3 linked regions of the Daphnia pulex genome follow. The main gene of each other region encodes a partner of the protein of the gene in region 3 in a complex. Links are inferred from orthologs where the notes say so. Each region holds a gene or a part of one and is shown on either strand. Other genes may lie near its edges.

Region 1 (11,205 bases), on a different chromosome or scaffold from region 3:
GTCTTTGGTTCTGGATAGCCAGGTTCACTTGGATTTTTCTTTATCCTTAACAGATCACTGAAACTTAATCTCCCCTTATTAGATAGAGGTTTCTCTTGATTCAAATCACTGCTGCTCTGAGAAACTGTATCTGTCATTTGAAGCTTTGACTCGGAACTCCATCGGTTGGTCCCTAATTGAGATGATGATGTATTCGAGTTCGATTCGCGTGCGATAGCTCCTCGGTCTCTCCGAAGAAAGTCCAAACCACTCCAGTTGAGTTTTTTCATTGCAGATGATTTGAGAAAACTCTGTTATGATCCATCAACAACTTTCCACACTTTCGACTTCGGTTCATTTGCGTTTGATCACGTTATCACGTTATCAATAAACCAACACGACCTAACATGACAACGAAAGCCTTCTTGCAGGCCTTGTTAGTGGTGACATCTTGTAGAAAAAATTTCAAAATCATCACAAATATTCAACATTTTTCAAAAAACAACAAGTTTATTCGAGTTTTATATAGAGTACATCAGTAATTTAAAAAATAAACGTAAAGAAATATTGGCGAAGGATGAAGCTTAATAGATAAAATTTATATATTATTTTATTATGTTATTCTGGAGTCTGCCCTAGCTGTTACTTTCTCCATACAGATGCTTTTTTACCAAGACTTTGGATCATAAAAGATAACACACTACATTTCAAGATTTGCGTGGAAAACTGGAAATCACGGGATGACAGATACCCAATCAAACTTCCGAGTGCCGACACCATAAATTACCTGATTCCCAGAAAAAAAAAACAATGGGGTTCTTTTTTTTAATGCCAAATGATAAAAATTTGGATGGCCCAACTAATGCGCAAAGGAAATCCGTGCACTGATCATCAATACTTGTCATCACTCCAAAATTGAAGTGGTCCTGTTTGCATTATTTAAACGTACCCTTCATTTATGAAAAGCATTTGTTTTTATTTCGGCAGTATATTATCTACAAAAAAAAAACTAGCACGACAAAATCAAACGAATCAAATGCACAGCTGTGATCGAGTTGTTCTGTAGAGAAAGAGGAAAGAGACGTGCATGGCAACTTTGAATTTCAAAAAATTAGAAAAAAAAAACTTTAAAGAAAAGGCCGAAACTCATGGTTAGGATGGGGAAGAAGTGAAGAATATATTGACCGTTGTATATGCAGAAAAAAGAATTTTAGATTTACAAAATTTAGAATGAGAAACCTCCTTCAGGGGTTTGAAATGGCTGGGTGTTGAATTCGTAATTGCCACTCTGCGATATCGATGGCGCCAACTCAGAATCTTCATCCCTCTGTCAAAAGTAAAAAAAAAAAAACAAACAAAAAACCAATTAAATCAAAATGAAAAAAAAAATTAAAAAAAAAAATAGTTTTCTAAAATCTCAGTAACGGTCAAGTTGTCAACACAAATACTTTGAATGTGAACAATTATGGTAAACTGGTAATCATGAAAAAAAAAAGGAAAATAAGCCATAATATAAAATAATTTACGTCAGTGGAGAAATACTGCTTCAGAACAGCCAGCGACTTGAGAGAAATATCAACATTGTTGTGGATAACCAAAACTTCGATTAAATCCAAGCCACCACACACTCTTACGTCAAGAGAAACTTTCTCCAGCTCGCCCATTTTCTTGGCAGCCGCCAAAATATTAGCTAAGCAATCCAATACGACCACGATAGTCTTGGGTTTCTTGGTCTCCAGCAAAGTGCACAGCGGAGCAACGGCACCAAACTGACACAACAAAGCGATCTGCTCGACATTGCCACCTGAAATTTAAAAGACAGCATTTAAAAATTAATCAACACCAGTAAAACTTAAATAAATTACCCATAGTGATGTTGGTAATGGCCAAAGCTGCTGCCTTTTGGCATTTGAAGTCGCCATTGCCCAGCACGTCCACTAACGGACGAATAACGTTGTTGGTAATGAGAGCTTGAATCTGGGTGGCGTTGCCTGCAGCAATCTTCGCCACGGTCCGGGCAGCCCGTTTGACGATTTCCAAATCGGAATGAGCAAGTAACTTGGCCAGCGCCGGGCAGGCACCAGCAGCCAGGACGGAATCGGTTTGACTATCATTGGCTGTGACGATGTTGGCGATTATCGACAGAGCCATGGAGATTACAAAATCATCGTTTAATCTATTTTTGTCCAACAAAGAAATGAGCCGAGGAACGACTCCAGTGTCGACAACATCTTGGATTCGTTCGTCGTGACCATCAGCAGAGAGATTAGATAGAGCCATGGAAGCGCAGACGAGAATATCGCTGTCGTTGGAGTTGAGAAGGTGGGCCAGGGCGGGAATAAGCTGTCGGACTGCCGGGACACTGAGTGGACTGTCCTCGTATCCACCACACAAGTTGGTCAAGGTCACAGTGACTTCTTGCAACAATTTAACCTAATAATGAAGTCAATTATTATTTGTTTCTAAAGGTTAATTAAAAAATTTATTTACTGGAGTGTCGGGTTTATTAATCAAGGATACCAATGGCTTAATAATGCCTTCCTCAATTAAAAAATCTCTTATCTCTGCTCCCTGATTGGCAAAGTTACCCAGAACCCAGGCAGCATGTTCCACTACAACTGGATGAGGTGAATCTAACAAATGAATCATCCCAGCAACAGCCCCAGCGCTGACAAAAGCTTCGATCTCATCAGATATGTCTTCGCCTGAATAAGCAATGTAGCCGATTACCATCAGCGTGGGGTAAATTACGGTCTCTTCTTTGTGATAGAATAGCTCAACGAGCCGAGGGACGACTCCGGCGTTGATAACTTCTTTCTTTATTTCTTTCGGGCCATCAGTGAGATGAGAGAGAGCCATGCAAGCGGTGGCGAGAATCTCCTCGTCATTTGCGTGGATTAGGTGGTACAGGGCAGGAAGAAGCTGTCGGACGGCAAGGACACTCCCACCCAAATAGCGACACAAGTTGGACAAAGTCGAAGTGACGCTACGCAATAATGTAGCCTAATATTGAAATCGGTTAATAATAAATGTTCACCAAGGTTTCAAAAATAAACTTACTGAAGAGTTAGATTTGACCAAACTGAGCATCGCCTTTATAAATCCTTGCTCGATTAAGTAATCTCTTAACTTTGGTCCGTCTTTCGCAATAATGCCGAGCGCCCGGACAGCTTGCTCGGCCGTAACTGGATGAGGTGAACTCAACATTGACATGAAACCAGCAATAGCCCCAGCACTGACCACAGCTTGGACCTGAAAAGATCTGCATAGCACAATGGTGGTGAGAGTCCTGGCTGACTCTAACTGAAGTTCAGCGCTAAAACAAAAATGTCATGAAGAAATGTTTGAATAAGACCAATTTAAAGACACAACATACTTTTTGACACGACTAAGGAATTCTACTAGCTTGGGAACAACATTAGCATTGATGAGGATACGAATGAGTGCTGGATTGTGTTCCTCAGATAGGAATTTACGTATAGCATTGGTTGCTGTAATCTCCTTGTTTACATCACCACTGTTGATACCTACAGTATAAAGATTCATATGAGAATATATGTTACATAGAAAAAAAACTATACCATTAACTATGTCCTCAATGCTCTTCGCTGCAGCCATGCATTTTAGTACTTCAAGAGGGCTGAGGTCCTCATCGTAGACTTCAAGGATGTATTGGTTGTATCTATTATACAGCATGTGATCTTCCTTCTTGACTTCCTGCAAATTAACATTCATCTCATACATGAAAGATGAACAATTTGTTTAATTTAATAAATGACATTTGACTATCTAAAGCTTATTACCTCATATCCTCTGCAATTATGATTGATGTCCTTCAACAGGGTGGGATTTGCTTCAGTTGTCATTTTGATAGTTGATGTTTTGTCCAATTCTCTTGAATCACGGAAGTGACAAACACATGGGAACAGTTAAACCAACGACTGAGACAATGCTGCTGAGACTGAAAACATGAAAACTGAAAAGTTTTTTAAATACGCCATTTTTACATTTACTGATGTTGATGTTGCCAAATAAAAATATTCAGATGAAATTACAAAGACGTCATCTAGTGTGAGATCAATGAAGACTTGGATGTAGGTGCTAGGTGGCGTCGGTGATGTAAATTTTGACGCCTGTCTAGGTGATCTCTAAGCTTTTTTGCGTGTACTAACAAATTGGCAATTATCAAACAAATTGTAAACAACTAAGAAAAACAAATTATTTAATTATTATATTTTTTTAAAGAATAGGTAAGGGTAATATTTTAAATCATGTTTTTTGTTGTGAAGGTCTGTCACCGCGTCAGAGAGTCTGACTCTGAGCCCGAGTATTACCAGCTGTTTAACACGTCAGACTTGAAGCGCTTTCATTCGGTCTGTCAAAATGCTTGACCGAAGGTTCGTCGTAAAACTCTGCAGTTTTCTGCTCTTGGTAGGAATTTTTTTGACACTTCCACAGTTTTGCCATTCTCACTCTCACGACCATCACGGACATTCACATGATCATCATGGACACTCGCACGATCATGTAGAAGAGCGGCCTTCATTTAAGTATTCCAAGGAAGCGAATATTCCGAAACCTCCTCCACCCCCAGCCAAGAAAATAGAAAAGGAACATCACCATGGGCATTCGCACGAACATCACGGACACTCACATGATCATGATGAACACTTACATGATCATCATCATGACCATCACACAGAAAATGTTGAAGCTCCCAAAAGGACAACTGCTGCCTTATGGACAGAAGCCATTGGTTCCACTCTAATCATTAGTGTAGCACCGTTCATTGTGCTTTTTTTCATTCCCATTGACAGCAGCCCTGAACGACAGCCCTTGTTAAAAGTTTTACTTAGCTTTGCTTCCGGTGGACTTCTTGGTGATGCTTTCCTACATTTGATTCCGCATGCATTGATGGCTCATTCTGAAGATGAGGAACCTCATTCGCATTCTCATGGACATTCTCATGGAGAGGGTCATTCTCATGGGCACGACATGACTGTTGGACTTTGGGTTCTCTGCGGCATTATTGCCTTCCTTGCTGTTGAAAAGTTTGTTAGAATTCTTAAAGGTGGCCAAGGTCACAGCCACAGTCATGCTGAACCCAAGAAGGATAAAACAACTGATGCAAAAGATGCGAAAGACGGAAAAGCCAAAGAAAAGAAGGAAAAGAAAACCAAGGAGGTTGCCAAACCCTCTGGTAAATATTTAGTTTATTTTTTGGTAGTATGTCATTAAATCTGTTGTATTATTCCATTTCTTTAGGAGACATCAAGGTAGCTGGATATTTGAACCTGGCTGCGGATTTTACCCACAACTTCACTGATGGCTTGGCTATTGGTGCGTCATTTTTGGCTGGAAGAAGTACAGGAATCGTAACAACAGTCACAGTTTTGTTGCACGAAGTTCCCCACGAGATCGGGGATTTCGCCATTCTCATTCAGTCAGGCTGTGATCGCAAAAAAGTAATTTCAAACGCTCCGACAATCTCAAAGTAACAGGAATCTTAATTCTCCACTTTCTATTGGACAGGCTATCTTTTTGCAGCTTATTACAGCAGTGGGAGCTCTTACTGGATGTGCAGTTTCTTTATTAGCAGAAGGAATCGGTGCTGCTGCTACTGCCTGGATCCTTCCGTTCACAGCCGGTGGATTCATTTACATTGCCACCGTTTCTGTCATTCCTGAGCTTTTAGAAAACAGCAAATTCTCACAAACTTTAATGGAAATCGCTGCCTTGTTAGCTGGTGTCTATATGATGGTTTTGATAGCCGAATATGAATGAAAAATTGAGATACAAATTGTTTCTATCTAAATCCCATCTGGCAGGGCTAGACGATGGATTTTAACTTTCATTTCTACCACTTCGAACCCATTGTCTAGCCTGCATTATGCCTTGTAATTGTTTTGTCACCCGAGCAAGATACTTAATAAAGGTATAAAATAAATTTCACGATTCTATTATATTTTTTCTTATTTTTAATTTTTAAAATTTAGCTTTTTATTGAACTTTAACTGAGCAAACAACGCTGGGAGGGTAAGATGAGCCTATAAGTCTACTTGGTTACTATTCAATCAAAGGTGGTTTATTCATTGAAATTGCGTTATCAGTGAAAGGCGACAACTGTAAATAAAAACCATATAGGAAATAGAACAATGTTGGCTATTGTGTGTAGTTTGTGCGGTAACTGATACCAGATTGAGCAATTCCCTTTGACTGGGCGCCGAGACGAGTCTACAAAATTTTGACTTTCACTTATTCTCTTTATTATTTTGATGACTTATTCATCATACAAGTTAACTCATTCATTTCATTACTGAATAGAAAGATACAATCGCTAAAATGCAGAAAAATTGAATAATGCCCCCATTTATTTCGCTACGTAGTCATAGGGGCGGCGGCATATATTAGACGTAACCATGGCAACGAGTCAGCCCGACAATCGAAACAAACGAGCCAGCAGTCGGTGTATATTGTTGTGATGTAGAGAATTCTTAACGTTTTTTTCCAGTCAAGCACATCTTAATTTAGAATGACATCGGTAGCAACTTCAAATGGACCCGTCACATCTACTCCTCTGATAGCAACCAGCTTTTATTATTCCGTCCAAGGCCAAATCCGGCACGGAGAATTCCCGCTCAATTCCCAACTTTACGTCAAAACTTGCTATCACCACGGAGCTGACTGGATCTTCTGCCACGTAACTAGATACACAGTCAACTTTGTTTGTTTTTTTTTTTATTGTAGAAAAATGACTTTGCAGCTCTTCGTTTGACGCACAGGGTATTGAAGAAGGGTTAAGTCAGCTAGCCATTCAAAAGTCATCTGGGGGCCGAGAATTGGTGTGGAATTTTCCTTTACAATCGTCGTGGAAGAGCACGAATCCCCACGGATGGCCTAGAATGATCGTCAGTCTTTATGGACCCGACGAGCTGGGTAACGATGACGTCGCATACGGCTATGGTTCCACCGTTTTGCCCATCTGTGCTGGGCATTACACAAGAACACTGGCTATCTATCGGCCGCAGTCACAATCTCTTCTGCACAAATGGACCAGTTGGTTTACCGGGCGTCGTCCTGAATTGATTGATCCCAAAACTATTGCCCTCAACGAAGGCCGTGACGGTAATACTCCACCAAGTTATTATTCAATTATATAACTTTATTTCAAAAGTTGATTCAATTTGTTTTCTCTCGTATAGTTCTCCGAATGGAAACTCTGGGCTACGTCACGGTCGAATTCCACACCACTTTTAAAGATTTCCAAAGTTTAGGCTACGATTCATCAATCAGTGGACCGGAAAAAGTATCATCCACTTTGCCTATTTTTTAAGACAAAATCAATTATAAATTTACAAAATAAATGAACACGGCTACAGGGATATGAGCAACACTTTGAAATGAGTGTATTTCTTTATTTTAATTTTGTTTTCAACTAAGTAGACGACACCATTAATGGTGGGTGGCGGGGGAGGTTAAAGACATCAAAGAGCGAATGATTCTCTTAAATGACGAGATTCCGCGGGAGTCATTTTACAATTCAAAAGACGGCCAAAAATCAGGGGAGAAAAGAAGAAACACGAATGAAATCGTAGTTTGATGTTTAAAAAAAAAAAATTTTGAATTTTTTAGCCCGTCCCAGCTGTGAAAAGAGACGGAAATTCTCAAAAGTTCGCCAGCAGCGGCAGCAGCTTTTGTGTGTTGTTATACATAATACAAAAAAGGGGGGGTGGAAGATTCAATTAATGACAGCGGATAGACGAAGAAATATGGAACGGGTGACATGTATAACAAACAATCAAAAATTTAGTTTCCTCCCCTCAATAATTGAATGGCATTTTTTCTTCAAAATTTCTTTTTTTTTTACGAGGGAATAAGAATAAACACTTATCGAGATTCGATTACTCCGAGCTTTAAAAAAACAACAAAAGAGATTGACTCTTTTCTGTTTGGTTTGAGAAGGTATTGAAAAAGTATTGATTGAATCATATTATAAAGAGAGAGAGAGATTTCATCAACAACAACAACAACAACAAAGACTTTTTGCTTCCTCCTCAATTGCTCATCAAAAGTACCGAACCGTGAGTAAGTAAGAGAGAGAGAAAGGGAAGAATTGAAAATCCCTTACTATACTGGGCTTTGGTCTGATGATGACGACGAAGAAGAAAAAAGTTTGAAACAGCGGCCCAAGTCCCCACCCAAAAAGATAGACAGGGAGTTCAACCAGAGACAAGAGAGAAACGTACGTGTTTCGAATGCTCAAACACGCCTTTATATCCTGTTATACACATATAAAGTAGGAGCAAATGCACATGTCATCACACGTTTAAAGAGACAAATTGCCAAGAAAAATCACATAAAAGGGGGGGGGGGCCGGGGGCGAGGAGTGCATCCATGTGCAAGTCGGGACTTTTTTTGTTGTTTTGTTGAAGAGATGAGAGGAGAGATGAAACTCTGAAACTCATGAATAATGTACAAACACGTTCACTCTTACATACACACACACGCGCGATCGCTCCGCCGAGGATTGTATACACACACACACACACAACATTTGACGTCTGTGTGCGCGCGCAGATGCGCGGCAACACGACGACACGCGAAATGGAAAAAAAGAACAAGTGGAGGAAAACAATCAGTACTTCCGCTTCCCCTCCGTCATCAATCCAGCGACGAAAAACAACAACTCGAAATGGAAGCAGCAGCCGGGGGGGAGAGAATGGAGGATAGACGTCATTCGGGACGTTGATGGAATCGAGGACGAGATCATCAAAGCTTTTCACTTATCGCTGCAATCAAAAGACGAGAATCATTCAGAATCCATCATCAACTTGAAGAGAGTAGACACACAGCTGCTCTCTCTCGAGAGGCTGAGAGGACTGACTTTTTATCAATAAAATACTCACGCTGGTCCTGGATAGTAATACGGCGGAGGTCTCTCGTAGTCGGCGGCGGATGGAGCGGACGGGGTTCCGCCTCCCGGAGTTCCAGCGGACGGCGATGTGGCAGTAGCAGCGGCGGCAGCAGCGTGAGTGGGAGATGCCACGTAACGGGGAACACTTCCGTCGCCCCAGGCTCTTGGAGCTGGATCTTGAAAGCGGCCGGGTGTCTTTCCATTGCGTTCCGACGGGGCCACTACGGCCGTTGAAGAGTTCACTCCGCCGCCACCACTCGAAGCCGATGAAGTGACGCCGATACGATTGCTGGCACTCCCGTTACCCGTCCTGGCCTGATGCTGCGAGATGCTGTAATCGTCTTCGTAAGCGCCTCCGTAAACGTGGCCGTATGCGTGACCCGATCGGGTGTTGCTCGGGACTGGGATGCCTCTACGATCTCGACTTTTTTTGGGGGAAAGAAATGGAAATTTTTTCGTTAAACATGGAATTTTCAATTCAGATGTTGGAGAAATCTCTTTGAACGTAAAGGGACAAACCAGAAACATAAACAGAAAAGGAAAAAAGACCAAAACATTTCTTTTGTTTTAAGAAGAAGAGAAAGAAAGGAAAGACAGAAAAAGACAAGTATATTGAGACAAATACACAGTACGTGCAAAACGTTCTAATATCCAGCCTTTCAAAATGCATGCAGTCAAGTTAATTGAATCAACACGAAGAATACGGAGAAGAAAAAAAAAATCAAAAGAGATGAAGACAGCCATCAAGTCTTACTTGTTTAAGGCCAATGGAATGTTGTCCCGGTCGGCATAAGCATCATACAAGTACTCTCTGAAGAAATATATCGGAAGGAAAAAGTGTTGTGATTTCCGGAATGGTATGAAAAGAATAAAAAAAAAAATAAAAAAGAAGAGAAAAATAGCGGAAACAACCCCCGGAAGAAAAAAAAAAATCATCGTTCAATATTTTTTCACTTGAAAAGAGACAAGCAAAATAGCCAGACCACCACCAACCAACCAACCAACCAACGCCATCGAATAAAATAAAGAAATGATTTACACGCCATCACCAATTTTTTTGTTAGAGGGAGGGGTTGAAAAAAAAATAAAATACTACCAAGAACGAGAGAAATACCCGATGATAAATAAAATATCCAATGATATAAAAAGAGCTGAAATTCATGCTAGAAAGAGAGTAAAGCTTTGGCACCAATTCAACCGAATGACGAAAGGATGTCATAGTTATTCTCTCTCTCTCTCTTCAAACAGGGAGGAATGTTTCTTTTCTCTTTGATATGCATCGCCCAATAAAAAGATATCCAGTCAGGAAATGGCCTTAAATAATCGTAAAATCAAAAAAATAACCCAAAAAAAGAAGAAAGAAAAAAAAAAGAGATGTTCCTTTTTCGGGTATATGAGAGGGGCTTTTACCGCCTCGGCATTTTTTTGTTTTCCTTCCCATTAACACGCTCTTACCTCTCGACAATCGAACCCGGATAAGGATCCGTCTTCCTGTAGAGGGAGGCTAGCACCATAGCCAAAACGACGCAGGGTAGAAACAAGAGGCAGCACCATCCAACGCTGGCCCAGAATCCATTCTATATATAAGTCGAGAAACAACAAATCGATCAACAATGAATCACTAAACTGGAAGAAAAAAAGGAGGAAAACTTTGCTCTTCTCAAATAGAAGAAGAAAAAACAATAAAGTATACAAGTCCAGCACATTTTTCCAATAGCGCTGTCGAATGTGTTATTCCTAACCTATTCATCACAACTCAAGTAGGGAATTGGAAAGAGAGGAAAAAAACGCGCACTACCAAACTTTTGAAACGAAATCAATAAGTCAAAAAACCCAACGGATTTACAAAAAAGAAACAAGTAAAGGACTAAGGGGAGCGAGAACAAAGAATCCAATTTTTTAAAAGCACACACACAAAAAAGAAGCAACTTTAATCCCGGGGCGGGATACAGCCGCAGAGAGAGAGAAAACTTACAAAAGGCCAGAAGATTTGTTGGCAGATCACGGCTGATGTAGTATTGTAGGCCTGCGAGAGCGGCCAACATTTGCCGACTTTAAAGAGGACGTGGTCGGTAACCCGCTGGACGTATTGGTCGATGAGTCGCTCGCACTCTTTGGCAAATTCAACCGCCAACTGCATATAAATCAATCCATCTTTTGTGTTAGATATAATAATTTATAAAAGGGAAGAGAGAGATGGAGCGGAGAGATCGATACATCAATTTGTCTCGGATCGATCAACTCGCTGTCGTTCCCACCAGCGTGAAAGATTTTCTTTTCAAATTTTTTATTTTATGATTATTATATATACC
Region 2 (9,913 bases), on a different chromosome or scaffold from region 3:
AAATGAAAATAATAACAAATGACTTGAGAGTTTAATAAGATAGGCGGCGCCAGCTGTCAAACTGTCACGTAGGCAATGATTATGAACAAAGACATTCAGCCCCACCAAACGAGACAGTGAAATGAAAAAAAAAAATGAAACTAAGACGAAAAAAAAGTCGGTTAAGTGACACGCGAAACGAAAAGGACAATTCCTAACTAAGCTGCTTTTCATCATCTACCCCCGCACGATATCGATCGCGTGCCAGCAATCTGGTGAAAGTTAGACGCGTCACGTACTGCGAGGACCGTCTATCTAGCGACAAGGAATTTTTCTTGGAGGGGCTCGTGCTCAACAGGCAGCAATCAGGAAGAATGTTCGCAGAAGTCGAAGAATGGGACCAATCACTCCTACGAGAATAGCAAGTCAAACGAATATCCCTTTAAGGCTGCTCATCTTAAATCGCGGAGAAAATCATTTCGGGAGGGGGTCTTGTGCCGGACGGGATGGAAACAGTAAACCATAAAACAGCACTAATAAAAAAAAGGGGATTGTTGACGGCCGGCTCATCATCCCGGCGTGCGGGAATGAAAGCGCTTTCACAGCCGAGTAGAATGGAAGATGCCTTTAAGCGCTGCCCTAGTAATCAACAACGGCCCGTCATTTAATTACAGACATCTAACGGGAAAGAAACGTTTCTTCAGAGATTGGACGAGGAGAAAAGAAAAGAAAGAAATCTGCAAGACAAGATTGATTGGCATGAATGATGTCTTGGAATAACCTTCTAGCGTCTGTTCATATCCTTTTGTGAAAAAGAGGAAAGCTTTGGCCGCTCTCTCGGGCGTTTTCAGCAGCCCTTGGCGACATGGGTCCTCCCCAACATCGGACAGCAAGGAACGATACGACTCCACCATTGACGGTAACATGTCCTCGCGATTCAGACGTGGAGAACTCCGCAGATTATCGACATCTAATAAAAAAGAAAAGAAATAAACACAAAAATATGTTTTACAATAATCATCATTTTTATTTTGACTTGTAATTGACGTCATGTAAAAGTAGGATGCTGGGCCTTGATTAGAAACGTAATAAGATCCAAGTCGTTGAATTCCCCATAGGTCCCGTAATTTAATTTGCTACATCATTCTGGCAAAAAATTTGGGCTATAGTTATCAGCAGGTTTCTGATGAAATTAGATTTTCCCGGAGAAAGCTGAACCTCGGTTGATTTCATTCGATGTCCCAGAACTGAATACATATGTATCGATCGTCAACCGTCTCGAATTTTCATGCTTAGCATATCAGACGAGGAGCAAAGTACATTGTCTTGTCAAAAATGAGACCAGATATTTGTGGGGTATTCCTTTATATGTGCGATCTAGGTATTACCACGATCAGTTGTCACACACGACACACACACAACTCTTTGAACCTCATTTTCTAAATCTCGACTAGACATCTCGTGGAGTTCGGACCAAATTTGAAAGCTTTTTATTCGCATTTAAGGCTTTCACATAGATTACGAACCGAGCCCAGGGCGTTTCTACGCGACACATTTGAAAGAATGAATGGAAAAAAAACCAGCTTAAACCTCAACAGCATTTGTCTTAAACTCAAAGTAGAGGAAGGAAAGTGGAAACTAACCGATTGTCCGTAGTCCATTAGTGATGGATTTACACTCGGGATCATCTCCGTTTGTGACAGCCGCTCCAGCTACTGGCTTACTGCCTTTGAAAGCTTCCATGTTAGTAGTATCAGATTGATTGATCTAAAGATTGAAAATTGAAAAAAAAAAAGATTACAAATAAATCTTGCTATTTTAGTATTTTTCCTATTCAAACAGTAAAATGGAAAAAAAAACGGGAAATTTAACAATGGAAAAGTCATTTTCTTGATTCTGTACCTAATCTTTTTTTGAGAAATAATATATATATATATTTTTAAACTAAATGTCCAGCTGCCTGTTGGTTCTGCCACTACTGGTGCTGTTGCTCCGGAGACTGTGAAGGGACTGAACCTCTCTTCTGCCGACCTTCTTTATATAGTGCGTAGGGCGCACGCCGAGAAGCAAAGCAACAATGCTCTCGTTTCATATTCGGGTTACCCAATAACGCCGCAAGCTTATATAACACTCAATCAGTCCGCATTTGATAGATCTCGTTTAATAGAAAGTGAACAGCAACCAAAAAAATAGGTGATTAAGGTGTAGCTAGAGCAAATTAGATAAAAAGTGTCGAGGAAAGTTTGGCGGGAAAAAACGCTAAATTTGATGCAAGTGCATTGAACTGCAGTTCCGAATAAGTGAACGCCTCACATATAGGGAACCCTGTCACGTAGACCAAGAACATTGGTATCCTCTTCCTTTATCGTCTCGCTGTATGCAATTATCAGATTTTTTTTTTCCCCCGGCCAAAAATGTCAATCGAATATACGAAATATATTGAGGAGCGCGGGGGCAGCAGCGCGAAAGACTTTAACAAGAATTCAATCGCCCATAGAGAGTGCCTTGATGAATCTTTGATGAAAATGCCATTTATTTTCCACTCCCGACCCACCCAAGCCGACGGCGGGACTTGATGCATCTACGGATCGATTGCTTCTGTGAGAGAGTAGATTGGATCAAACGACTCGAACGCTAAAAGCTGATCTCATGTTCATTCATCGAGCGTTGAGAACTGCAACACGGTGCCCTCAAGGGGCACTGTAGAAGGTTTGAATCGATCTACTTTCCCCCCCTCCCCACCCACGATCCATTCAACTTATGGGGCAAGTTGCGCAACAAGATTTATCTATCGGTTGTTTTTACTATCAGCTTGTGAATAATGCCCATCAAAAATTGTTTGCGTATGTGCAGCACCGACGACACAATATACTGTACAAACTACAAACTGATGATCGATGGCCACACTTTGGACGTTCAATCAATTACATTAACAGATTTCATCAGAATCCATCAACATTGATTGGATATGAAATAAGTGACAATAATTTCAAATAGCATTTCAAATTACACAAAGTTCCATAGATCAATCGCTATAAAAAAATTACTAAAATTATAAGCCATTAAAGCCAAACTTGTACAAATTTATGGTTAATTGGTTATATAGAGCAAAACTTGTACAAGTTTATGGTTATATAGAGCAAAACTTGTACAAGTTTGGCTAATAAAACTATTGCTTGTGATGAAGTGATGCAAATATTGAAATGACACCTGCCTTTTAAATCGAGCAAGGTTGGAGACAGATCTGCTACTGTTGAAAGACTAGGTCAAGGCTTCCATACCATCCACATGGAAACTGCAAATATTTCAACATAAAATAGATTATAATATTTTTGAAAGTAAAATTGTGCAACAAAATCCAAATGGTTGAAACAAATATATATACTTACTTGAGAGATTGTGACGGTTCAATGAACATGTGTGCCAATTTAAACTTGCAATGAAGTGAAATAAAGATCTTTGAAAGCCAGGAAACTTTAAAAGTTAGCCAACACACAAAAAAGATCTTGTTAATATCCAAACAAAAATATTCTGAGAAATTTGTAGGAAAAAAAAACTGGTCCAACTTTTAAACTCTCAATTCAGTACAACGAACGCCACTAGTTATTTCTAGGTTGAAACTAATACTACTATTACTGTTCTCGCTTTATTGAGGGTTCTACATGTAATAAGATAAGATCAAAATCTTTGTTGGATAAGTTATACAAAAGGAAAACCGGATTCAAATCGTGTCTCTTAAAAAAACAACAAAACTATCTTGACAAACAAGCAGACGACTTTGCCATTGTCATAGTAACTAGATCACCCATGGCAACCTTTTGTTTGTTTTCTTTTCGAGTAGTTGGCGTCTCTCTCATATTAGTAGTGGGATGGAAAAAGGGATATGGCAGAACTACATTTAATCGGGCAAATCATCGGCGGAACAGAGTTTTCCGAGAAATCAATTTGCTGTCGCTGGCAATTATCTTCAGGTAGGTGCCAATCGGCTTTGACGTGCGCTTTCTCTCTTTAAATGTGATCGGGCTCGTTAACGTTTTGAATTGTGAAACATCACAGGTGAAAATTGGCGTGTTCTAGAAGGAGCCACTGAAGGCCAGACGCAACTTGACACACCACAAATCGGTTCTGTGAGCAGCTGGAATCATCCACTGGACGTGCACTGGGCTACTCGAGGTCTTCAAGGCTGGCCGCAAATTCACCTACAGATTTACCACCTGGACGCTTACTCACGAACCAATTTGATAGGCTACGCATCTGCATCCATTCCTACACGTCCCGGCATCCACTACATCGACGCTCCGGCCTGGAGACCTTTAGGTTTTTATTTTTTCTTCGTTCCCTTTGTAAAAAGTAAAACCTGTCCGTTTAGGAGTTCAGAGTGATCAATTCTGGTTTTTTAAAAGGTACATTCACTGAGGAGTTGATGCGTCATTTCATTGGCGGTGGAGTCGAGTTGGCTGACGCAGAGCGAATCCAAAACGGAGCCGATCGATCCCGTTTGAGAACTGAAGCCACCGGAAGAGTCTACTTGGAAATAGGATTAGTCTTCCGCGATTTCAAAAAGTTTGGCATCGAGTACTAGACGTCAAAAGAAAATGGCCAAGTTACCCACCCTTCAGCTGCTATTCGTGATTCTACAATTTGCCCTGCTCATCTCCAAAACTTTCGTCTTTACCCAGTCCGCGACGCAAAGTACAGCAGTCGATCAATCTGAAAGTAATAACCAAACCGACTTGAATCGAAAAAACCAGTCGAGCACCGATTCGACGACGGCGGCGACACCTATGTCAGAGAATTTAACCAATTCCTTATCAACAGCAGATATAAATCTAGATGAGAATATTTTCCTTTATCTCAACACCGAGTCGTCGTCGGAATCCATTCCGACAACGACCGTCGCTCCCGAACAACCGGAATCGGATCCGTTCGATTACAATTTGTTCTTCTGCACTTGCGATTTGATTGGCGGAGAGTGTGACGTCAACTGCTGCTGCGATCCCGACTGCAGCCAGGACGACCTCCGCCTATTAAATGGCTGCTGGTCGCCGCCCAGTTCGTATTTCGACCGTTACTATTGCTCGCCGGATCCTGATCGTTACGGACTCGTATGGAACAATACGCCGGAATTCCGCGTCCAGTGGAGTTCTCGCAGCGGAATGTTCTGCATCGTCACAGACAACGTCCCTAAAAAGAGATTGTTCGAAGATCAAGCTCCCGTTACCGAAGATGAGCTTTTCAAGCACATCTCGCCCAAATTGTCCGGCAGATGGAACGATCCGGAGAGCCAAGAACCCAGTGCCGGATTGGAACAATGGATTTATCAGCCGTACTACAAGCAAGGGTCGCCCATCTTCACTCTCCATATCAACGGGATCGTTAGCGTCTTGAGTAATTGCCTGAAATTCATTTTTTTTTAAATTGAATTATTGATGCGAATTTGTTTTAATTGCAATTTCATTTGTCAGATTTACCGCGTTCGCTCAATAGCGCTTCGTGCAACACGGCCCAAACGGTCCATTTCCTGGAATCTGATAACGATTACCAGTGCAGTCTGCCGGGCGAGGATCGATGCCGTCCAACGATTCGTCTTGAAGAATGGCTGGCCAATTTAGCTGTCTTCCGGCTTCCGTCTTATTCGGTCTCTTTCAACGGGAACGGCAATAGCAGCGCCCGATGGGGCGACATGGACAAGTTGGCGCCGGTGGTTGTTAGAATCTGCGAGAACTCTTATTCCGAATGCAGATCGGATCTTCCAGCACCTGAGCCCAGCTGTCGGAATTCGCTGACCGCCGTGACGTTGCGCATTACTCACAACGGGACAGAAGGCATCCGCTCCGTTTTGGCGGATCTGCTCTACACGTCGGCGTCGGCGGGACCGGTCCGTTTCCAAACGATCCATCAATCACTGGCCGAAATGAACCGACCGAGTGGCGGTGCGAATAATCCGCTGAGAACACGGTCGGGAAACCCTGGCTACCTGACGGGCAAACCCCTTCTGGTTGCCAAATTGAACTCGTCCAGCGGGGAAGGAGCTTACCAAACGCTGGACGTCTTCCCCGGCACGCCCAAAGCCCGGCTGATCCGATTTGGAGAGGACAGTTACCACGCTTTCCGTATGAATGGGATCAAGATGGACAACCGGACTCAATGGTGTGCAAACTGGAGCCACTTCGTCCTGGAATCTTTCTGGGGTCCGCAATTGCAACTGCTTCGCTTGGGGGCTTTCGGCAACGTCGAGTTGAACGAGACGGAAGTCTCCGCCCTGTGGCTGGCCATCAGGATCCAGACGGAAGAGCTGAGCTGCTTCGATTCGCTCATCCACGGCCAACTGGTCGTCGCCTACGCCAAATCGGGGTCGTACGACCAACCGCAGAACAAACTGCTGGGCGCTGGGTTGACGCTGAGGTCGTCCGGTGCGGATTGCCTCGTCGAATCGTCCAACAGGTGCTCCCTCCAGCTGAGTCAAACCGTTTCGTTCGTCATGTCGGATTCTCCCACGTTCATGGTTCTGCCTCAACCGCCCCGTTGGAAAATCCAGTTACCTCACGATTTCTTTTATCCCTTTCTTTTGTCCTCGGCCGGAAGCGTATTATTAAGTCCGTCCATCACGCTTCCTCTATTCCTCGTCGTCGTGTTTTATGGCCGTTAGATGGCGTTCACTGTCTCCTATTTTGGAAAAATAAAAAGCGGAGAATTTCTTATCAATTGACTTTTTCGACCGCTAGATGGCGTCTAGGGTTACAAATAACAAATAATAACAATAATGCTGGCAAAAAGATAGGAACCGAAGTGAAGCCATGAAAGAGAAGAGAGAGGATCACTAAAGTATTAAAAAAGAAAAGATAATAATAAAAGAAAAAAAAAGAAAACAGGTTTAAATTTATAATGGAAATAGTAGAAGTCGAGAGTCGCAAGTTCTTCTGCATAAAAGGATGATATCGCGTGACAAGAAAAACGAGTAACATAGTATTATTATAACATTCCGAAACAGGAAAAAGAGTGAAAACTTTTTTTTTTCCTTGGCTAGCGCACAGGATCATCGCATCCGATATATCGACGGGAGGATTACGCGCTAGCGCGGCGACTCTGAAAAAGTCAAAACAACAACAACAACATCCACCGGGGCAGACAGCGGAAAAGAAAAAAAGACACACAAAAAGGACGGCGACTTCAACCGTCGAGGAAAGTGCGAAGCCAAAAAACCACACCCACCCAAACACAGAGAAATATAAGGAGGTACTATACTCCTACTACTATACGTTCGACTATACGATTATATCCAAGTCTGATCAGAACGACGATAGAGATACAGGATCCCCCCTCCCGTCTGTTCATATTTGGAAAATGCCACAGCAGAGTTGAACGAAAAAAAGGTGAACTTTCGGGCCGGTTCACGGAGGAACATGAACCGACAGTGGGTGCGGACGGTCGGAATTTGTTGGGGAGGGCATGTACCTACACACATTTCTAAATACTTTTTGTTTTTGTTCTAGTACTAGACTTTATTTTGAAATGTCCCGACCCCGGTGACCGTCTCAATTTGCTCGCCGATAACCCTCGCTGACTCGGTCGCCGCTAAATAACCATAAAGTTCACCATGAGGAAGATTTCTAATTCAATTTTACAACCAAACCCCCTCCAAAAAAAAATGTTAGACGACCAACAAAATAATAGATGTGTCCTGATGCACCCGGCACCCCGTTGGGCGACTCCTATGTATCGATCGTCTTTTTGATTGTTAGGGAAAAGAAACAAAATAACCGACACAGTGACATCATGTCGGAGCGGGAGCGTCTAAACGAAAAGATAGAGGAAAAAGGCTTAGTCCAATTAGAAAAGGTCCCGGGATTGCTGTTGTGTCCCGCCAAGAAATAATAAGACGTACCACTATATTACGTAGTACAGCGTACGTGTATGGCAATTATAGCGGCCGGATCTCTCATCTATCAAAGTTGATTCCACTTTTTTGGAGGGTGAATCTAGACTAGATCTTTTATAAATTATTATTGTTACCATCGTTGGGAAAAAGAAAAAAAAAGTGTTGTTATTTCTAAAGAGGTCACGTGACTGACGAGTGCGACTGGAATAAGCGAACGGCGTTCATCGCTCGGTGGTTGAACGCCCGCCGAAAATGCGGCCCAGTCACGTGCCGCACTCATCTCTCCATCCGTCGGAGAGATATATCTCATGCGGCTTATTGATCCGGCGCTCTCTCCCAACACACACACTCTGTCTGTGTGTACACATATCATCGTTGACAATCCGGGGTACTAAAAAACCGAGTGAGAGGGGGGAGTGAAACCGCTAATTAACCGCCGGCAATGGTGCGGAACGAATGAATATTTCAACTCGGCGTCCGTCCATCTATCAACAATTGGCCGGCATCAACTTGCGATTGTCCCGGTGTTGAGTGACAGGCTCATCCGACGCCAATCAAAAGACTCTCTTTCCCACTCATTTTTCCGCACTTGTGCTACACACACACAAAGGTCGTTTTGAGGTGGCCATGAATAATTCATCGATTTTGGTATAGAAATAAAAAAAGTGGCTCAGTTTTTTTGGAACAGTTCAGCACAGCCGGCCCAGGGACTGTGTTATTCTTTAGCCTATATAGCGCTCTCCTTTTTTTTATATTTTTGTCATTGTTAAATATAGAAAATAAAAGGAGAACCTCTTTTTTTTCGTTTGGGGGGGCTGTGTGAGGGGAGTGATGATTTTGATACAGCGGGTAGAGAGGGGGGCCTTCTATATAGTTTGACAGCCAACGACCTTTTTATTATACGGACAATCGAACAGCACACGGGAGCAGAAAAAGAAAAAGAATCTATATATATATGCCGCTCGCTGTCTATCATTGGAGCTGTGCTGTGCTGTTGCAGCCGTCGATGACAAATATATTCCGCACCAGGAATGTTTTTGCTATCGATTCTATTCAACACCTCCGGTGTAGAAGAGGAGGAGGAGGCAGGCATGAACACATGAAAAGTGCTGGATGTGGTGTTGAATTGGCCATGTGTGGATGATGATGGCTTCTTCGGGGGTCTCTTGTTGTTACAAGGGACCCTAGACACACATAGAGGGGGGACCGACGCTCATATATACGATGCGGTATTCCAAGCGTTTCAATGAATATAGGAGATCGGGCGGCCGAGGTTTTTTTCCTTTTTTTATTTTGGATATTCACAAGAGGGGAGAAAGAAAAGCGACAGAGTTTCTCTAACGGTTACTACCCCAGCGGGATGAGGAGGGTTGTGTGTGTGTGTATCCAAAGTCAACAGGGCGATGGATCTACACGGACTCTCACTTAGAGTAACAGCGCAATTTATCGTTCTAGTACCGCAGTAGCCCACGAAAACTAGGCAAACATTTACCACATACATTGGCTGCACACTCCCCATTCAAAAAAGGCCCGTCTCTCTCCTTGGCTGCTGGCCCTGACGTCTTCTTTTATATCTCTCGACAAATACGACCAATGTTTGCCCAGTCTTTCCTCCTATAACCCATATGTACATTTATGTGTTATGTATAGGCAAACAGCAGCTGAGAGATATTAGCGATATCTTCATTTCAAATCGATTTCCTATATATTCCGTGATGTTTGTCGCGTGTTGGCTGCTGTACAAAGTCCGCTGGAAACCGCTAATTTCGATGCCATTCGACGATATAGTCAAACCATCTCTTCTTCACCAAACTCGATGGTTATCATTCATCAGAATGGCTTGGAAATGGCCAAGCGTGTGCCCTACATACGAGAAACCTCCCCTTTTATTTTATCTTTATCAAAGAAAAGAAAGAAAAGTAAAAAGGGTCTGATGGTCTGGGTCTGATGTCGGGCGTGCGCCCACGACGTTTTTCTCTTTTACCATTCGCCCCCCCCCCTCTTTTTACAACAAGTTTCAATGAGAACTTAACACAGACACACACACACACAAAA
Region 3 (11,049 bases):
TTAAACCTGCTTGTTGGAAACCAAATCTACCCCTCTTGTATACTGAATCGGGACAACACTCATCGTTACCCGTCATCGTCAGGACTCCGACGAACAATCCCATATCACGTCCGGCCAGCATTATGTTCTCCGACAGGTTAGCACCGCTTTCCATCCGCTGTAGCTGTTTAAATTTCCTCTTTTCCTTCCATCCTACCCAAATTCCAACGGCCAGGATCAAACAGTAGAAGAAAGCCACAGAGATGACGCCACCGATATTCACGTTCATCTGTAAACAAAAAACTGGACAAGCCAAAGTGATAAATTGTCACAAGGTCAACTGAAAAGGTAAAACCGAAATATAGGGATAATAACAAAAGGCTACGACGACGATATCTTACGTTTGACGGCGTCGCTATAACTTATCACTCGGCCAGTCTAGTCAGACAGCAAAAACCGATTGGAGAGCCAGGCGTAGGTGCGACTGCAGCCGATGTTCCTCACTCTATATGACTGCGCACGTGCGGCGGATGTTCAGCGTCGCGACGATATGGTTGAAAATGATACACATCTGTCACGTGATCTTTTGGTCGTCAAACGAGACACTAGATTGTCTTCTAGTAGTCACGGCGATGATGAGGCAAGAGAGTAATGTCTGCCCAGTTTCCTTTACTCAATTTCTTGCACTAGAGTTTTTGGTAGCAACGACCGTTGATTGGCGTACCTCTCTCGTCTAGATTTCGTGCTCCTATAAAAGTAAAAACAATTCAAGATTTTACTGCAAAACGCAACAGTTGTGTAGTGAATTTTTGCATTGGGGGAGAGACGACGTGGTATAACGGGAAGTGTACTAGAGACTCAATAAAAGTGGCCTTTGGAAGAGTTAGAGGGAGAAATGAGGGTATCCCAAAAATAGAATTACAGAAGGTATGCATCTTGCTGGCCTTGTTCCAGTATACATTAATGGCTCTGCCAGAAACAAAAAAGCCTTTCAGCATCTCAAATCATTACACAACTTACTAGCTGTAGTAGAATTTACAGATAAAATAATGAAAGCTACTGCTATGTAATTTTCTATCTTATGAGAGAGCCAATTCCTTTCTTTGTATTCTTTATTACCTAATCTGTTCCTAGAAATTGATACATGAATTGTGGTCGGTCAACATGTACCAGGCTATAGTAAAAAGAAAACACACTCATCGAATAATTATGTAAGAGTAAAATACTTGTTTTGTGATGTGAAGATGGTTGCTCAATCACCTATCCCAGCATGAACTGTTACTCAAGTTGCATATATCCTTTCACATTAAGAAGAATTTAGAGTTTCACAAAAGTCAATAACCGTGGAAATTGTAGCCAACCATTTTTCAAACCAAATATACGAACTACGACACTCGACCATGTGTTTTTGTTTTATCTGCAAGACTGCACTGAATGCACCTACTTCCAGTTTCATCATCTCCCTCCCAATAATAAATAAAGTAGAAGATGGATGATTTATCGCCAAGACCCGAAATGAAAAATAAAAACTAGGGGTTACGTCAACAAATTCAATTTAGTCAAAATAAACTGAGGTTCCAACGGTTCAAATCACTCGAATCTTGGATGGAATAATAATCAAAAAGTTGTCTGCTACATCAAAAGAGGCGCCATTTACACCGTTGCAATAGCAACCAAAAATTGATCTTTGGAATTCCCTTTTTTTGACATTTCCGTTTCTGCTGTAGCCTCTACAAATTGTCCACGTCGACCAAGGGGGGTTTGTTAAAAGAAAAAATAAACAAACCAATTTGACTCTTGGGAAAAACGATGGTTGGTAGTGTTTCGCGAAATCCTTACATTTTTGGATAAATCGTTTCTTGATTGTATTTCTAGGTATTCATAAATTGTTTTTCTTATTTGAGGTTCGTGTTTGAGCTGGTCATAGTCCTTTGTATACAATAACAGTATACAATTTAAGTGATAAAACATCATCTTAGTTGACTGTTGATGAAATCAATTACAAGAAAGCACCATGGCTTACCACACATTACGCCAAGAGTATATGTTGATGCCTCCAGTAACTCGGGCATACACCACTGTTTGCTTGCTCACTTCAATTGCAGTGGTAAGTAACACTCGAAACTTTGAAAGGGACTCAGTAATCGACTGCAAAACATTTCCTTTTCAGCAACTGGATGTGGTGTCACCTTTTCAACTGTATTTCAATCCTTTGCTCATCACTCAAAAGTTTGAGGTAATAGGATTGGTTTGCTTTTGTATGGTAGCCAAATCATGTAATCTTGTATTTGCAGATATGGAGGCTACTGACTCCATTCTTCTTTTTTGGGACATTCAGCTTCAATTTTCTGTTCAACATGATTTTTACCTATCGCTATTGTAGAATGTTGGAGGAGGGTTCATTCAGAGGTAGAACAGCTGATTTTGTTTACATGTTCATATTTGGCTGCATCACAACAGTGGTAATTATGAAAATTTGCATGAATTCCTGTTTCAAGTTTTTTTAACTATTTGCTTTTCTCATGTTTTTAGATATGTGCTTGGTTTGTAAATTTATTGTTCCTTGGACATTCGCTCACCACGATGTTCGTCTATATTTGGGCTCGGAGAAATCCTTACGTTAGGATGAATTTCTTCGGCCTTCTACCTTTTCGAGTAAATAGGACAAAGCAACTGCAAAATTCAAAACACCCTGTGCGAAAATTAACCGATAATTTTTTTCTCTATCCTGACATTTTTATAGGCCCCATATTTGCCTTGGGTTCTCGTGGCTTTTTCAGTTCTTTTAGGCAATAGCGTATTGGTGGACATTCTCGGGATCGCCATCGGTCACTTGTATTTCTTCCTGGAAGATGTGTTTCCTAATCAGCCTGGAGGCAGAAGACTCTTGGCCACGCCTCGTTTACTGTATGCAACAATTTGGCATTCTCGAAAAGAAAAACATCAAAGATCGGTCAAGGGGTTCACGGTTTCTTTTCTTTTCCCCCCCTAGGAAACTTTTGTTCGACACGCACACTGAAGACCCTCTTTACAATCCGGCTCCTGACGAGCGTCCTGGGGGTTTCGATTGGGGCGGTGCTGGTGCTCCGGGAGTGGCAGACGCAGTCGCCGACCAGCCGAGAGAAAACGAAAATCAGTGAGGAAAAGAAAGAAAAAAAAGAGAAACAAACACAATCGTCTTTTTGAAAAATTACTAAATGGCAAAAGAAAATACATGGAAATTTGTTTAATATACAGTTGTCGATGTTCGCCCTCATTATTCCTTCTACACAGTGGCCCGGTTTTCTTTCGCTTACCAATGACCGACTAGCATTGACATACTGCTTTGTTGCAACGTTTACAAATATCCAGCGCTTTCCCCTTTCTCCTTTTATGGCCATCTTTTAACCGTGTCAAGTTTACACGCAATCAACCGTACTCGTAGTGTCCATAGTGCAGTTCTTCGCCCATCCAACTCGAACATTTTGGGAACACACAATCAAAATCGGAGCGCACTAGATAATGAATTAATATTCTATTGATGTGAATAAACAAGACTATTCCCTTTTTCGCTAGCTCAGAGATGAAGGGGAGGCGGACCGACCATAAGTCAATCTGAGATAACCGATTGCGAATTCTAGTGAAAAGGTTCTTTGAACGTCCAAGTTTGCACCGAGCGCACAGCGATTTTGTTTCAAGCCAACAAATAGGAAGGAGCAGTTGTCAACCTTGAAAATGATACATTCCCATCTGAAGCATAAATGTCCAAAAAACTCGATTGCATTACGACGCCTTGTTTGTAGTGAATGCGCCAAAGATTTCCAAATACACAACTTGAAGGTCGCAAATCTGTCAAACTAACAAGACTTGCTATTTGTTTGGAGTCATTTGATTTTCTAATCCTGACCTGCTACAGAGATGATGCTGCATTGGGAAAGGCTTATGCTACAGCGAGTTCACTGCCCTGATCACACACGCAGTCCTCAATTTTGTTTTGTTTCTTCAAGGATCTTTTGAACTGCTTAAAGATGTTTAGTCCACCAGATAGTGGAAGCAGATACTGGAGTTGGGAATGTTATAGTCTAGAATTGAAGAGATAAGTAGAAATCAAACCTGCACGATGACGAAAGAAATCAAATAAATTTAGTTGAAATTGACTCTTGTATACATAAATCTAATTAAGAAACAGACAACTTAGGCATTATTTTTTCTTTCCTTCTCCTCAAGTAGTCTGAGATATTCCCGTTCCTCTTTCTCCTTCATTTGGCGAATGGTGTCCTCAAACATCTTTTTGTTCACCCTGCTTTCGGCAGGGTACATTTCTCTCCTCAGATTGATCATCCAATCTTCAAAATACTCTGCCTGGTTAAAGTAATAGAAACAACCAACTGGGAAAATCATGTACATCCCCATTTTGGCTGCTTCCAGTTGCCAGTTTCCCATGTTTGGATTGTGAAACCTGGACAAGAAAGATGAAAAATAATTTTCCAGCCATCGATCCTACAAGTTTTTTCACAGCTTACTTGCTCTAATATAATCGCCAAGTATTTTATTCACAAAACAAGTTTGTACGTGTACCACACAGCACATGTAATACTGTGACGGGAGAAAGTCACGAATGAAAACAGCTGAGTTGTTCTGCTAGAGTCGTTGCCATGGCGCCCAGTTTGAAATGCCCAAAACAATCGGCTGTCATTTCGTTCATAGCCAAAAGCCATCGTCGAAAGCGATGAAATAATGGGAAGACAATCAGTTCAAAATGTTGTGGATTCTTTCAGCGATAGAATATTTCCAGGTCTGTCGGATATACCTCAAGATTTCTCATTCGTATCGGGTCAAAGTGACATAGGTAACTTCAATTCTTCTCAAATCATTCAAGTTCTATCTATTGCGTCTCGTACTTTATGCTAAACGTTTGATTGTTTTATGGAGCAAAGTTTATGATGTCCAATCAAGTTTGGTACTGCAAATGTCACTATACTTCAACTTGGTCTACTACCCAGTGTGGCTGGCGATCATCCTGGCATCATTTGTGGCAAAGGTATTTACATAATACGAAGAAAAAGTCATTGTCTTACATTTCACTCATCATCTCTTGCTACATTTGGCAGCACCAATGTTTTGGCTGGTTCTCGTATCTCCTTCTTGGAATTGGAGTCTCTGCCTGCTGTGTGACGGAAGCCACCAGGATCTACTTGGGCATGTCTGGCAACCTGAGCGAGCAAGTGGCAGAGCTGTCCACCTTCTGGTTCACCACACTCCTGGTCCAGCTGCCACTTGTGACAATCATCCTGATCGTGGCACTCAGCCTGAGCCAGATCCTGGAGATTGTCGCCTTGTCCATCTCCAGTCTCCTGATGGCAGTCCAGCTGTGTGTCTCGTTCGCCACACTTCGTAACGTGGCCCGCCTTCGCCAATTTTAGAAACCTTGAGCCAGGCGAGAGAGAAACTATACCTCTACGTCTCTCTCTCTCTCTCTCTTACTTTAATTTCCACCTCGTGTCGACAGGTTTTTCTTTCGTTATAAAAGCGCATCAGGGTTCTGTGTGAGACGACGAAAAAGAATCAGATAGACAGAGAGAGAGATGAAAATGAAAATGAAAAAGAGAGAGAGAGAACTCTTTTGGTAGTATCTATATGCACGCGAACCGCTCGCTGGAATTTTGTTGGGGTTTTTTCTTCTTTTTTCTGGCGAGTGACCAGCGACCTTGACATGGCGGAATGAAACACACACACACACAGACTCCGACTACTACGACTACTACCACACTAAACTATACTCAACAAATAAGCAGCAACCAAATAAGTGAAAGGAGGTCCGATGAGTCAGAGAATCTCACAGGATCGCCACAGAAGAAGAAGAAGAAGAAGAACATCCAAATGGTGTTTGGACAGAAAAACGAAGATAGGGAGAGGGTGTGAAAAGATATCGTCTCAAGAGCTTGTTATTTCCCCTTTTTGTTTTCTGTTTTGTGTCGCACACAAATAAAACAATTCGACAGGTCATCGGCATCACTACACTCGACGAGGTCACCACGAGTTTTGGGGGAAATCTTTTTTTCGTCTTATACAAGAAGAAGAAGAAGAATCTGAAGGACTCGGAGACGTATACCAGCAGCAGCAGCAGCTCGATGCCTCTGACCTGTTGATGTTATACCTTGACCTGCTTTTCTCCCCTTCTGTCGTATATAACCATTTTTTTTCTTCTTCTTCTTCTTCTTCTTTTGTCGCCCCTTTTAATTCGTTTAATCAACACGATTAGCAATTCCAAAACATTTAGATCTACAGGTGTAATTGATTGATGGATCAGGCCGGAGCACAGACACACTCACCTGAGACATTTTGGTGGGGAAATTCCCCAATTTAATACACACAAAATTGCGAAAATTGATTATTTTTGTCATTGATTGAGTAATACATTTTTTTTTTAAGGGGGTGATCACCTTGCTGGGCGATTTGACGGCCGGCCGGCCAGTGAACTTGGTGTCCGCGAGGTCGTGACTTTTTTTCGAAATTTCCCACGGGGGTTTTGATATTTCTAATTCTTTCATGTATAGGAAATTCCAAAATGTCCAAACGATGACTGTGCAGCATGCACACACTATCAGAGTTCTCCCCCTTTCCCATTCACCTTGTCGGACGTTTATCCACTTGCGAAATTAACAAGTCCTTTAATTAGAAGGGTGTGGGAGGAACGTGGGAAAAGAAATGAAAAAGAAAATGGTCGTTGAGGTGGGCGGAAACGAGTTGTGACGTGTTCCAACACGTCATTTTGGACCGAAATCTTTTCGTCAATTTACCTGAAAAAAAAGGTCAGTCCATTAAACTGGCGAAACGTCATCAGCCTACGTGACTGATGACACAAATGAATTTTATTTCATTGGAATCGCCAATTGATTTTAAGTTGAAATCGCATAGGACAATTTCATCTGAGAGTCAACTTTTATTTCTCTTCTCTTATTCTGACTTTTATTTTTTCCAAATTGCGATTCGAGTTTATTCCCAGTTGTGGGAATAATTTGGCCATTGTCATTTTAAAGTCAAATGCCAAAAGTCGTAAACTGTTTCATTATAAATGTCTAAACGTTACGTTTTAAAAACCTTGTGTGACGGCCGTGTGTGTACGCATAAACAAAGTTCAACAGAACTTATTCCCACACGGGCCGTTTTTATGTGTACATTGTGAACTTGAATGTCATTGAAAAACAACTGCCAGGAGATGAAATCTTCCGATGAAGCTGGGCCATTTCAATTCAACGACATCAAACTGTCCAAATGCTCATAGAAACAAAAATATTACGCAACATTTTTTCGTAATTCACCAGAGATGATTTTTAGACTCAAAAAGTCAACAAATAATATTCGTTAATTCACTGCAACTGGCGAATTCAGTAAAACGAAGATAAACTGCTAATTACTGATAAAAATTCACAAAAAAAATGGAAAATTACATAAGTGTTATCGGAATTCACCAGGGTATTTACTAACAACAACACACGTGAGTATATTTAGACCAGCGAGAAATAGTGGTCAAGTTATCCTACGCCAGATAATTCATTTGGGACACTGTACGTCATTTGTGTTCAGAGTTGTTGGGGGGGGGCTATCTTTAAAGGCTGCATAGCAGCGATACACAAATAAATACTATACCCCATAAAGTTGTTGACGTAGAGACTCACAATTCCCCGTAGGTAATTATATATTGGACTAAAATATATATTTAGAAATGGTTTTTTTTTTCTTTCTTAAAAAAATGAATGACGCAACGGAGGCCGAAATCCCCGATGCAGTTAACTATAAAATGTCCTATAATATCTATTCTATTGGTAGGCTATATACCTAGTGTCAATTTTTAGACGATATCTCTGGTCAGAAATATCTCGGGAAATATAATGCAATTTCCATTGCGGTTGTTCCCAGAAATATTTTACAAAATATTTTTTTAAAAAATTAAGCGGACAAATTCGAAATGTGGAAAAAATTTCAATTTTTTTTTTTTTTTTTAATTATTTAAAAAAAATAGTCCCTGATTTTTAGGACAAATTTTCAATCTCTTTCTCGAGTCAAACAGAAAAAAAATGTTCGTCGACCCGATGCCCTAGCGTGTCCTTAAAATTCCGATCCAAAATTCCCAGTAAAAGAAAAAAAAGAAAAAATCGCGACGACGACGTTGGGAAATTTTGGTCGTTTCCAGTTGGAAACAGTCCAGCCCCGGAAAAAGAAAAGGAAAAAAAAAACTGAATTCAGTTGGCATTAAAAATTCACCAAGGTCCGGCCAAAACACACACAGAGGCGCCTGTAATAAAAAGAAAAAGAAAAATGGATGAAATTGGCGCACTAAAGGTCATCTGTGCCGTCCTATTCTCCGTCGTTTTGTATTGTCTTTATTCGATGCTGTCATCCGCCAACGGATCGGCCCGTCGCAATCACCTGGGAGGCTTCCAGCTCTTCAGTTTCGTCCTCCCCAAAGGATCCTTCCCATGCAACAGCAGCGTAAATAATTCAATTTCATTTCCTACTCAAATTCAATACGTTCAATATGATTCAACTTTTAAAAAAATGTACAAATCAGGTGGCCGTACTGTGATTGAGGGACGTCCGATCGAAGATGACGGCCTACAAACTGAATCAGTCGTCCGGGAAAATAAATCAAATGCTATAAATGCGGGACAATAATAAAAAAAAACAAAAAAAAATGAAATTCAAATGAAGCGGGAGAGAGAGAGGCCTACGTGACGTTCATAAATCTACCCGAAAATTCCGAAAAACTGGGGAAATAAATATATATATATAACTTCTGCTATACAGACTGGGGAAATAAATATCTCGTGTGTATGGAGCGAGTGCGTTCAACCCGGGACCCGACAGACATGCCAGAGACCTTGGGGATATATAAAGTATGCACGCGTGAGCCCTTTATAGCGGGAGAAGAGCGCCGAGCCGGCCGGTGCTGCTGCTGGGTTGTCCGAGATATTTAAATTGGGGGCGATGATCGTGCAGCCAGCTAGCGAGCGGGAAAAATATAAAAGATAAAAACAAAACAAAAACAAAAATCTTTTTGGGGCTAAACAAGAATATTTTAAAAAAGAAAAAGGGTTGTCGAGCCCCGATATGGAATTCACGTTCATTTGATCAACATTTATAAGAGCCCTGTATTATAATATATACGGGAGTAGTATTCTACACATCTAGCACGTACCAAAAAAATCTATGCATTCACATCCCCTTAATTTTATTTTATTTTATTTTTCTCAGAAATAAGTTTTTAAAAAAATTTCTCTGACTTCAGATTTATTACACTACTCACGCTCCGGCAAATGTTTCTTTGATATTCAATTCTAATATGTACGTACAAGTTTTCATTGAATATGAAATTCAAAAGGAGCCAGGACAAGTCGTAGTACAGGGCGATGATTTTTTTGAGGGCACGTTTCGAGCACACGTGTCGGTCGTCCAAGAAAAGCCGACTAGCGTTCGTTCGGGAATCCCGAAATGTTTGTAGGAAAATTCACGTACCTCCGTTTGGGGCTGTTGTTTGTTTCCCTCACGTTTTTGAAGCGCTGGTCCCGGCGCCTGCTGTTGCCTATGCATCTCCCAAGGTTGTCGGCCATGTGAGCTGGGCCCACTCTGTATAGCCGGACAGACAGACGGACGGACGGACGGTCGGTCGTTATTATTTGGTTCGTTCCGTCCCGGAGTTTAGGCCATCGACATAGTAGATCTGGGCGATGCCAACGCCACATCACGTCCGCTACCAAAACATAAAATCAAATAAAAAAAGGGTTGATCAACCCTGATATATGGGCATCTTCGTTTCACATTTTCATATAGCTACAGGGCGATTTAACCCGTTTCGTTCTCTCCCCCTTGGAAAAAGAAAAAAAGGGAGGGCCGTTGAACGCGTGAATGTAGGCCCAATACGGTCCCGGCTGTTTCTAACAGTCCCGTGTGATTTGTATCTGTTCTATAATTCTATGGAAGTAGTAGTCGATTTACATATTGCCTCACATTTCATCTGATCTTTTAAGACGAGTTGATATCATTTCCAGAAAATGTTTTTTGTCCACTCTCTCTCTCTCTTAGGAGTACAGGTGAACCGGCCGGAGCGGTCACAAACCCCAAACGGCCGTGATGTGTCAAGGACGAAACGTAATAATAATAATAATAATCTTCTTCTGCTGCTGCTGCTGGTCAAATGTCGCTCGCTATATCAAGCGTGAATTCCCCCAGCCGGTGAACGAACCCATTTTCTCTCTTCTTCTCCGATTCAAACTTTATTCCAGAACATTCGAGTGAAATGTTCAAGGTGATTTTTTTCTTCTTTTTAATCTTAACTGGGATTTCATCAGGGAATTCTCTACAAAAAGGATTGATTCTCTGTCTCCCAGGCGATTCAACTGCTGGGATATGGCATCAAGTGTAAATGGACAATTTGACTGGACGGTGATTGGTTCAAATGATGTAGGTCACGAATATGTGAATTTGGTTCACGACGGGATATTCCCACCGAGTTTCACCGACGTCTGAAAATTCACTTGGAAAGATATTCCAAGAAATGTTCCGCTGGCAACTGTCGAATTTACTGGGAAATTAATGAGAAACGAATTACTGGGCCAAGTGGCCAAAGTCCCTCATTGGAAACCGATGATGCACGTCGGAGAAATAATCTCCTCAGAAACTACAGCAGAGAAGAAATAATAACCGTAATTCAATTATCTACTATAATAGGCTAGCCCTGCCCCCCCCCTCCGTATAGCGTCCCGAACACACGACGTCCGGCCAACATTGTCCAGCATCGTTATTGCGACTTGTATAGCGCTATAGTCCTCTGTTCGTTCCGCCATATGGATAATTGGAGCCGGCTCTGCGACCAGATGAACACATTCCACACATTTGATTTTTATTAAGACCAAACCCTGATGAGTTGGTAATTCTTTACAGAGGAACGTGCGTATTTTTGTTCTAAAAAATTTCTGGGAATCCAATCACCTGTTCGTCGAAGGCAATCTAAATTCAAACGACCACCAATTGTTATGGCTCTACGGACATAACAGCGCCAACCCAAAATTAGCCAATACAAAATATAACGCC

What was found.
Region 1: transmembrane protein 17B-like (region 3) and B9 domain-containing protein 1-like share a complex: the UniProt entries of both Homo sapiens proteins name them as parts of the tectonic-like complex. The link is inferred for Daphnia pulex from reciprocal best matches to the Homo sapiens genes TMEM17 and B9D1.
Region 2: transmembrane protein 17B-like (region 3) and B9 domain-containing protein 2-like share a complex: the UniProt entries of both Homo sapiens proteins name them as parts of the tectonic-like complex. The link is inferred for Daphnia pulex from reciprocal best matches to the Homo sapiens genes TMEM17 and B9D2.

The regions. Positions count from the first base shown.
Region 1 is NC_060017.1:7,403,034-7,414,238, reverse strand, and holds B9 domain-containing protein 1-like, read left to right. Parts: upstream 1-6,044; 5' UTR 6,045-6,511; coding exon 6,512-6,679; intron 6,680-6,761; coding exon 6,762-7,104; intron 7,105-7,181; coding exon 7,182-7,312; 3' UTR 7,313-8,170; downstream 8,171-11,205. Other genes in the region: suppressor of cytokine signaling 6-like, read right to left, coding at 1-269; importin subunit alpha-1-like, read right to left, coding at 1,205-1,306, 1,506-1,783, 1,845-2,412, 2,470-2,982, 3,040-3,295, 3,356-3,506, 3,561-3,714, 3,783-3,845; protein catecholamines up-like, read left to right, coding at 4,363-5,179, 5,245-5,444, 5,512-5,763; prominin-like protein, read right to left, coding at 8,759-8,768, 8,886-9,317, 9,648-9,704, 10,349-10,470, 10,869-11,027, 11,205-11,205. UniProt on the Homo sapiens protein: Component of the tectonic-like complex, a complex localized at the transition zone of primary cilia and acting as a barrier that prevents diffusion of transmembrane proteins between the cilia and plasma membranes.
Region 2 is NC_060024.1:10,636,570-10,646,482, forward strand, and holds B9 domain-containing protein 2-like, read left to right. Parts: upstream 1-3,821; 5' UTR 3,822-3,862; coding exon 3,863-3,950; intron 3,951-4,035; coding exon 4,036-4,296; intron 4,297-4,382; coding exon 4,383-4,561; downstream 4,562-9,913. Other genes in the region: GTP cyclohydrolase 1-like, read right to left, coding at 761-949, 1,623-1,722; tectonic-3-like, read left to right, coding at 4,575-5,367, 5,445-6,628. UniProt on the Homo sapiens protein: Component of the tectonic-like complex, a complex localized at the transition zone of primary cilia and acting as a barrier that prevents diffusion of transmembrane proteins between the cilia and plasma membranes.
Region 3 is NC_060027.1:835,054-846,102, forward strand, and holds transmembrane protein 17B-like, read left to right. Parts: upstream 1-4,671; 5' UTR 4,672-4,695; coding exon 4,696-4,807; intron 4,808-4,895; coding exon 4,896-4,999; intron 5,000-5,069; coding exon 5,070-5,381; 3' UTR 5,382-6,349; downstream 6,350-11,049. Other genes in the region: high-affinity choline transporter 1-like, read right to left, coding at 70-268; derlin-2-like, read left to right, coding at 1,994-2,086, 2,150-2,215, 2,274-2,441, 2,512-2,634, 2,723-2,886, 2,972-3,119. UniProt on the Homo sapiens protein: Transmembrane component of the tectonic-like complex, a complex localized at the transition zone of primary cilia and acting as a barrier that prevents diffusion of transmembrane proteins between the cilia and plasma membranes.